Linked DNA regions of Sus scrofa. The protein of the gene in region 2 interacts with the protein of the main gene of each other region in a pairwise test. Links are inferred from orthologs where the notes say so. Each region holds a gene or a part of one and is shown on either strand. Other genes may lie near its edges.

Region 1 (4,275 bases), on a different chromosome or scaffold from region 2:
TTGAGACTTTCCTGCCCATGCTCCAGGCAGTGGCCAAGATCCAGGGGCAAGGCACATACCAGGACTACCTGGAGGGGCTTCGCGTGTTTGACAAAGAGGGGAACGGCAAAGTCATGGGAGCAGAGCTCAGACATGTCCTCACTACCCTGGGTGAGGCAGGGACCAGAACTGTGGGGTGGAGAGGAGGGGGTGAACCAAGAAGAAGGTTAGCCAAGCAGGCAGAGCCAGGGAGGGATTACTGTCCTGGAGGTCATGGGCAGAAGACCGAGAAGGTCAGAGCCTGCTTCTGGGGTACAGATGCCTCCCAAAGGGCAGAGGAAAGGGGATGAGATGGGAGATCTGAGCTTCTATTTTGGAAGAGATGGTTGGCCTCTGTGATATGGTATGTGTCTCTTAATCCTCTGAAATTCAGTTTCCTTGTCTGTGGAGCTTTCACCAGGTGTAACTGAGGTGAAATGGAAAGCAAGATGCTGGGAGGCATTCAAGGCATGCGCATTACAAGGACAGGATTCTCTTGGGGGACTGTTGCTATGGGCAAGTCTCCAGGGTGGGAGAAGAGGTACCACCCAGAAGAATGAGGCCTGGGTTGATGAGGGAGGGAAGGCAGGGGCTAAAACGCTGTGTCTGGGGTTTAGGAGAGAGGATGACTGAAGAGGAGGTGGAGACAGTTCTGGCAGGACATGAGGACAGCAACGGCTGCATCAACTATGAAGGTGAGCGGCTAGGAGCTGAAGAGACAGGGGAAGAGGGGAAGCATGAGGCTCCTCGTATGTGGGGGCGCGTCCTGTGGCCCAAATTATCTAAAGTCAGATGGATTATCAAGACCATCTTCTGAAGCCCCTCTTGCCTCCTCTCTCTGCAGCCTTCCTGAAGCACATCCTGAGCGTCTGAGCTCTACAGGTAGGGCCCTCCCACTTCGCCTTGTGAGGCCAGCCTGCTTCCCTTCCCTCTACCAGAGACATACGTTTCCACGTCCTGCTGCGCGCTTGAGCTCCAGGATTTGGCAACGTTCATCTTTTTCCACAGGTGCAGTGGGGCTCGACAAGGAGTCCCCCTACCCCTCGCGGGCGAAAGCAAGTTCCTGCCGCTAGGAGGCCACCTATTGTTTCAAAATAAAGTGACGGTTCCTCCCCTAAACCTCCGACTCTTGCTTTCTTCAGAGGTGGGGGAGGGAAGGAAGGAAAGGGAGGGATCTCCTCTCCCAAATCCGACATCCCCCGATTTTCCTGCGGCTCGCAGGAGGAGATTCCTTGCGCCCCACCCCACCCTCCTCTGCGGTTTCTGTGCCCCGGGTAGGACTATTCTGAAAAATGAGCCGCAGCGGGCCCCGCCCACCTCCTTACTAATGTAGCAGCAGCATCTGCATAAGACCGGGCCAGGATCCCTATTGGCTGGGTCAACGGAGGGTGACGTCATTGGGACGTACTAAGACTAGGGTTGGGCCGAGAACCGGAGCCATTACTGCAGGAAAAGGTCCCGCAGAGCCAAGCAGTCAAGATGGTGGGGCCCGGGGCTGGGAGGATGAGCGGGATTGGGGGCGAGAGGCGGGAAGCCGGGGGTAGGGGGCGAAGAGAAGGCAGAAGGTAGGGGGCAAAGGGACTTGAGGGTTGGAGGTGGGGTTGGAGATGTTGAGAGCCTGCCCTGCTGGGAAGCGAGAGTGCCCAGGATGGAACAGGAGTTCGTGGTTCAGAGTTCTTGGGACGGGGCTGGAAGCTTGGGGGATTGGAGTTAAGATGCTGATCGCTCCCCTCTTCTCCGAGCAGTGTGACTTCACCGAGGACCAGACCGCAGGTAGGTAATCTCTGACCCCGCTGAGGTCATGCTTAGGGAGAGGGACATTCCTTCTAGCACCTACCCCCTACCTGTCATTTCTTCAGCACCCACAAGGGAGTACCTCGTGGATTCCCTTCTCCCTCCTTCTGGGCCTCCATTTTCTTTTCTCAATCTTTCTTCCTCCCTCCCTTTCTACTCTAGATCTGAGCCCCAAGCACCGGGTGAGTTCTGTAGGTGGTGTGAGCATGTGAAACAGCTTGGCCACCAATGTCTGCCGTGTGTGGGGCTCGGGAGTGATGTATTAAGCTGCTTGTGCTCCTCTGTTCCTTAATCACCTCCTTCTGCCTCTTCTCTCCTCCTGTGCTAACTTTCCCCCTCCCCCAGCTTGGAATTGTGAAGGTTGTAAGAAGCAGTGACCTGTTGTTTTGCTGGTACAGGGGAGTTTGTTGAGGACGCTTCTTTGCAGCTATACTCTCTGAAAGATTTCTTTCTGTACTGAAGGGGTGAGAGTGGCAGGCTGGGATGACCCCAGTCCCAGGCTGCTGCTCCCACTTCCTTATAAGGACAAGGCCCAGACTGGGCGGTGGCAAATTCCTGCCCTGAGTACTGTAGTGAGGAGGCTGGGCAGGCTTGCTGTAGGCAGAGGGGGTATGGAAATGGCAGTTACCACTCTGCCAGGGCTTGAGGAGAGCTGTCTTTATGTGGGACACCTGAGTTGGGAAGAAGGGACACTAGATCCCTCTTAGAGGGCTTGGGTGTACAGTGGTATAAATATCTGGTTTCCTCAGCGTGATTAAAGTTGAATGGGCAACGGGGACTGTGAGGGAGGGTTTGGGTTCATCTGTGCCTGCCAGGTGCTGATGTTTATCCGAATCCTCAGAGTTCAAGGAGGCCTTCCAGCTGTTTGACCGAACAGGGGATGGCAAGATCCTGTACAGCCAGTGTGGGGACGTGATGAGGGCCCTGGGCCAGAACCCCACCAACGCCGAGGTGCTCAAGGTCCTGGGGAACCCCAAGAGTGATGGTAAGAGTCCTCAGAACAACCTGCTCAGCATGGTGGCAGGCCCGCAGTCTCCGGCTAATAGCTTCCTTTTATCTTCCTAGGCCCTGAACTCAAGCAGGTCTTGTCTAGCAAATCCCACAGATTTCTCCTGCCTTGAGTGGGAGCCCCGTAACCTCCAGTAAGAACACACGTGACTTTGCTCTCACCCCCTTTGTGGCAGAGATGAACGTGAAGGTGCTGGACTTCGAGCACTTCCTGCCCATGCTGCAGACTGTGGCCAAGAACAAGGACCAGGGCACCTACGAGGACTATGTCGAAGGCCTGCGGGTGTTCGACAAGGAGGGCAACGGCACCGTCATGGGTGCGGAGATCCGGCATGTTCTTGTCACACTGGGTAAGGCTCCGCCCTTGCTCCTTGAGCTGAGGTGCCACCTGATACACCTCACCTGTCACCCAGTTCCAGAACACTCACTCTTCCCCTCTGCAGGTGAGAAGATGACAGAGGAAGAAGTAGAGATGCTGGTGGCAGGGCATGAGGACAGCAATGGTTGTATCAACTATGAAGGTAAGGGACAAATGGAGGCTCTCACAAACGCAGTGGCTATCAGGGGCAGGTCAGGCACAGTGTTTGGGGCTTTCCTTGTCCCTGGGCTTGGGCTGCACAAAATGCCAGGAGGCAAGGGGCAGGGCCTGGCCCAGCCCAGGAGTGGGAGGCCTGGGGGGTGTGGCAGGAAAGGAAGGGCTCCTGCGGCTTGAAGGGCGGGCAAGGGGTGGGGCGTAAAACCAATGGGTGTCTTGTTCCCTCACCGCCTGATCCCCTTCACCCCACGTCTATGTCTTGTCTTCACCATTAATGTCTCTTCCTTCCTGCAGCGTTTGTGAGGCATATCCTGTCGGGGTGACGGGCCCCGTGGGGCGGGTACGGCTCCTCCCAGCCCCCCCCTTCTCTAGTTGCCCTCCCCAGTGTTTTTCTTCCTGGCCTTTGCTCTCTGGCCCCTGCCCTTCCCCTACTACCATGACTTCCTCCTAGCATGTCTCTGCATGGAGCTGACTGAGGAGGGGGGGTTCTTCAAAGAGGAAGGCAGCCTGGGGGTGTGGTACCTCCTCCTCTCCTAGAATGGGCTCTGAGGTTTTGCTTCTAGGGCGCTGGCGTCTGGGAACTCACACCAGCCTATCCCCGTCTTGCTTCAGGGTGACCCTGTGGCCCGGGAGCATGGGCGGTTGACAGAGGGGGGTGGGTTGCCCGCCCCATGGTGCTGCTGCAGCCGGAGTCGCTTCCCCTTCCTTCTGCTGGGCAGCTTGGAGGTACCCTAACCCAAAACTCTGTCTTTTCCTCCCGCCAATGGCTGACAGTAGCTGTAGGTGTAGCTGAGAACTCTTCTGCTCTGCTGTGTTCTTGCTGCTCAGGGTCGGGTGGGGAACTAACAGCTGGTGGGAGGGGAGCTGGAGGCCGAGAACCAGTCAGACTCAAGGTAGCGCCTCTGCAAACTGACCCCAAG
Region 2 (3,560 bases):
CTCTGGAAAAAGTGCATTTTAGTTATTTAGAGCTGCTTCACTTATGCATAGACTTTGGCTTCTGGAATTAAAAAGTAATTTTTAAAGTTTTGGCAGCTTTGATTTGTTCCCCTTTCCAGGATAGCTAATTAGATTAGTTATGTAGTTTCTGGCTTTTGATGCAAAGTGTTTTGATAGAACAGATATTTTGGGGATAGGCAGGTATGGCCAAAGCATTCTTACTCAAAGGTTTATAATCAAAGGCTCCTTACTGTAAGGCTTATGATTGAGGGGTTACAAGGTAGTTCATGTGATGAACTACAAATATGGGTTTTTAAACTACCTTTAAGGGGAAAAGTCTTTACTGGGCAAGAAGAAAATTGTCTTCAATATAAGTCATATTTGGAATTCTTGAGAGAGGAGAGACTGTTCAGATTACATCTGGTGGGCAGAAGATTCAAATGAGAAGGGAAGAAAAAGGTTACTGAATAGAATAAATGCAGAAGGCTGAAAGATCTCGAAGGGAAGGAAAAGTTCATCTGAAGAAGAAACGTACCAGAAAAGTCTGAAGATAGTTGACTGGGAGAAGTAGAAAATAACTGGAGAGATGATGGAAAGTGGTGGCTCAGTTTTTCAAAAAAGAGAGATTAGCCATTGGCACATGAAATTAATAGAATTTCTGATTAGATTAGTAGAAGAACCCAAGGGCACATCAGCCAGGTTGGCAGTGTTAGTATAGGTCCATAATTTAAAACCAGAGGATTACCTTTTTTTTAGATAGCCCCTCCTCTAAGCATTTAAGGGCTTTATGAATAGTGTGTATGCCTGAAAGTTCAGGTATGGAGTAAACAACTTGATCTAATGGAAGCTCTGGCTTTAGTGTCCAAAGATCTAGACTCTAATATTTTCTGTTTTGTTAACTTATTTTTTTTTTTTCTTTTGTCTTTTCTAGGGCCGCACCCGCGACATATGGAGGTTCCCAGCTAGGGGTCTAATCAGAACTGTAGCCATCAGCCTATGCCACAGCCACAGCAACGCCAGATCCTCGACCCACACCACAGCTCACAGCAATGCCGCATCCTTAACCCACTGAGCAAGGCCAGGGATCGAACCCGCAACCTCATGGTTCCTAGTCAGATTCGTTAACCACTGAGCCACGACGGGAACTTCTGTTAACTTATTATTTAACTTCAGACAAATCCTGTGTCTCTGAGTGCAGTATGTACACTTCTTACCATGGTTTTTTAATGTGTGGTTGGTATTCTGGTAAATTATGTTCTGCAGTTGTCATACTAGTTATTTGTCTTTGGATCATAGGTACCCTCTTACCAATTATACTTTTGGTACAAAAGAGCCCCTCTATGAGAAGGACAGCTCTGTTGCCGCCAGATTTCAGCGCATGAGGGAGGAATTTGATAAAATTGGCATGAGGAGGACTGTAGAAGGAGTTTTGATTGTCCATGAGCACCGGCTACCCCATGTGTTACTGCTTCAGCTGGGAACAACTTTCTTCAAATTGTAAGTGTCATTGGAAATTAACAGCTTTTAATAGGATTGCTGTTTTATGCAGCTTTGAAATAGTTTTAGCACTAAGTCACTTATCACAACAAACATTGCCGTTAATGGAGTTTTGTTGAGGGTGTTGGCCAATGGCATGCAGGAATCCCTAGGCCAGGGATCCAACCTGTGCCACAGAAGTGACAACACCAGAACCCTAACCTGCTAGGCCACCAGAGAACTCCATATGGAGTCTTCAGGGAAAAAAGTCATAAGGATTTTTTGCCTAACTAGAAATCTGCATGTTTCTATATATTGTTGATGCTAATGACTGAGCCTGATAGAAGCTTCTGGGAAACAAATTAGTCCAAGTTCAATTTCTAAGTGTCATTGTAGCATTACTAAGAACAATTGATACTATTTCTTTCCTAGGATGAATAGTGTTGCTATTCTTAAAATGGCTTATATTTTTATAGGTAATTGTTTAGTTTTCTCATTTAAGTTTAGAAATCTCTCAGTTTATGTATAGTCCACAACTGTTTGACCAGATTGTACTAAAGAATTCTCAAATGAGTTCTTGAAAAATGCCCCATTCTTCAGGTCTAGAGAGTGTGGGTCCACTGCTCTCTGGGCATTTCTAGTCTCCAGATGGCGTCCACGGAGAAAAGATTGGGATGGACTGCTTTCCAGCAGTTATATGATGTTTATGTAGCGGTATATATTTTTTCTGTTTAAAACTAGGGTTTGTGTACTGTTAGTCTGATAAATTAGCCTCATGAATTTGACTTTCTAGCACGTTCTTGACATTTGTTTGCTTTAATTGCTTTATCGTGTAACACTGAAATATGTGTTAAACAGTACTTCATAGAAATGATTATTGTGTCCTTCCTATGATCCCCAATTGTGTTAAGTTGGAAGCTGAAGTTGTTAACCTTTATACAGACCAGGTGGTGAGCTTAACCCAGGAGAAGATGAAGTTGAAGGACTAAAACGCTTAATGACAGAGGTATTTTTCAACTTAACTATTCTGACGATTTCGTTAATGTTCATCTAAATACCATCAACTTAATGCATAATCAGTTTTTTTGTGTCTTGTGAAAAGGATGGGTTTATTTATTTAGTTTTCAATAAATAAAACCTCAAAGTGTTAGTACAGTGTTTATTTTCTGAAAGTTTAACTTATACTTTATCTTAACATTATTTTTCATTGAAATGATGTGGCAGTCATGTTAATGAAATAGCATTTACTGAGTAGTGCTGCTAAACACTGTTCTAAGTGCTTTACATGCAGTAACTCCTTTAATCATTACAACAGCACTAGGAAGTAGGTACTGTTATTAATCCCATTTTATAGATAAGGAAACCATGGCACAGAGGGTTCAAATAACTTGTTTTATGTTATAAAGCTATTATGCCCTGAAGCTGGAGTTTTGAGTGCAGGTGGTTTTGTTCCAAAGTAGGTTTTAATAGACTTTTAACAAGAGAATGATTCCTGTTGTATACTTAATTCCATTTTTGAACATTCCTTTTAAGGCTTTACTCAAATTGTACTAGTTTTTAGAAGTCATTCTAACGTCTGCCTCTAAAGATATGGGGCCAAATGCATAGATGCTGGAGATTTTTGACATTATAGCTTGTATTCATTATTAAATAGTTTTCTTTTTTAGCATGCAGTCCCCACCCCCCCATTACAAACTAATATATATTCTGTGCAAAAACCTTGGCAAATGTAGAAAGTAGAGGGAGAGACAAAACTAAAATCACCTGTAGTCCTATCTCTTTGATCTACTGGTTTGCCTTTGTAGTATTTTTTAAATGTGTAAAAGCTTTTAAATATTGTACATATGGTAGTTATACTTACCCCAGCTTTTTCTCAAAACTCCACCAAAAAACAGTTAAGGTGTTTTAGAAGATAGAAATCCAGTAGTATTGAGGGAGTGCAAAATGAGACAGAAGCAAGAACAAATTTTTAGAAGCTGGAAAGCAGATGAGCAAATCATAACTGACCTAGCAGAAACCTCAGCACAGCAGAAGGGCAGTCAGGACCCAGCACTGCAGAACACCAGAAAGGCTACGGGGTTGGA

The links. The genes of interacting proteins can lie anywhere in the genome.
Region 1: the proteins of NUDT21 (region 2) and MYL6 interact in binary tests that used the Homo sapiens proteins (3 or more experiments, as listed by UniProt). The two-hybrid records come from large-scale screens. The link is inferred for Sus scrofa from reciprocal best matches to the Homo sapiens genes NUDT21 and MYL6.

Annotation. Positions count from the first base shown.
Region 1 is NC_010447.5:21,557,859-21,562,133, forward strand, and holds the start of MYL6 (myosin light polypeptide 6), read left to right. Parts: upstream 1-1,466; 5' UTR 1,467-1,497; coding exon 1,498-1,500; intron 1,501-1,763; coding exon 1,764-1,791; intron 1,792-1,974; exon of another isoform or gene 1,975-1,994; intron 1,995-2,653; coding exon 2,654-2,797; intron 2,798-2,996; coding exon 2,997-3,170; intron 3,171-3,263; coding exon 3,264-3,341; coding exon of another isoform or gene 3,342-3,532; exon of another isoform or gene 3,533-3,649; coding exon 3,650-3,678; 3' UTR 3,679-3,695; exon of another isoform or gene 3,696-4,275. Other genes in the region: MYL6B (myosin light chain 6B), read left to right, coding at 1-150, 636-713, 863-891. UniProt on the Homo sapiens protein: Regulatory light chain of myosin. Does not bind calcium.
Region 2 is NC_010448.4:29,342,850-29,346,409, forward strand, and holds part of NUDT21 (cleavage and polyadenylation specificity factor subunit 5), read left to right. Parts: intron 1-1,296; coding exon 1,297-1,497; intron 1,498-2,418; coding exon 2,419-2,482; intron 2,483-3,560. UniProt on the Homo sapiens protein: Component of the cleavage factor Im (CFIm) complex that functions as an activator of the pre-mRNA 3'-end cleavage and polyadenylation processing required for the maturation of pre-mRNA into functional mRNAs.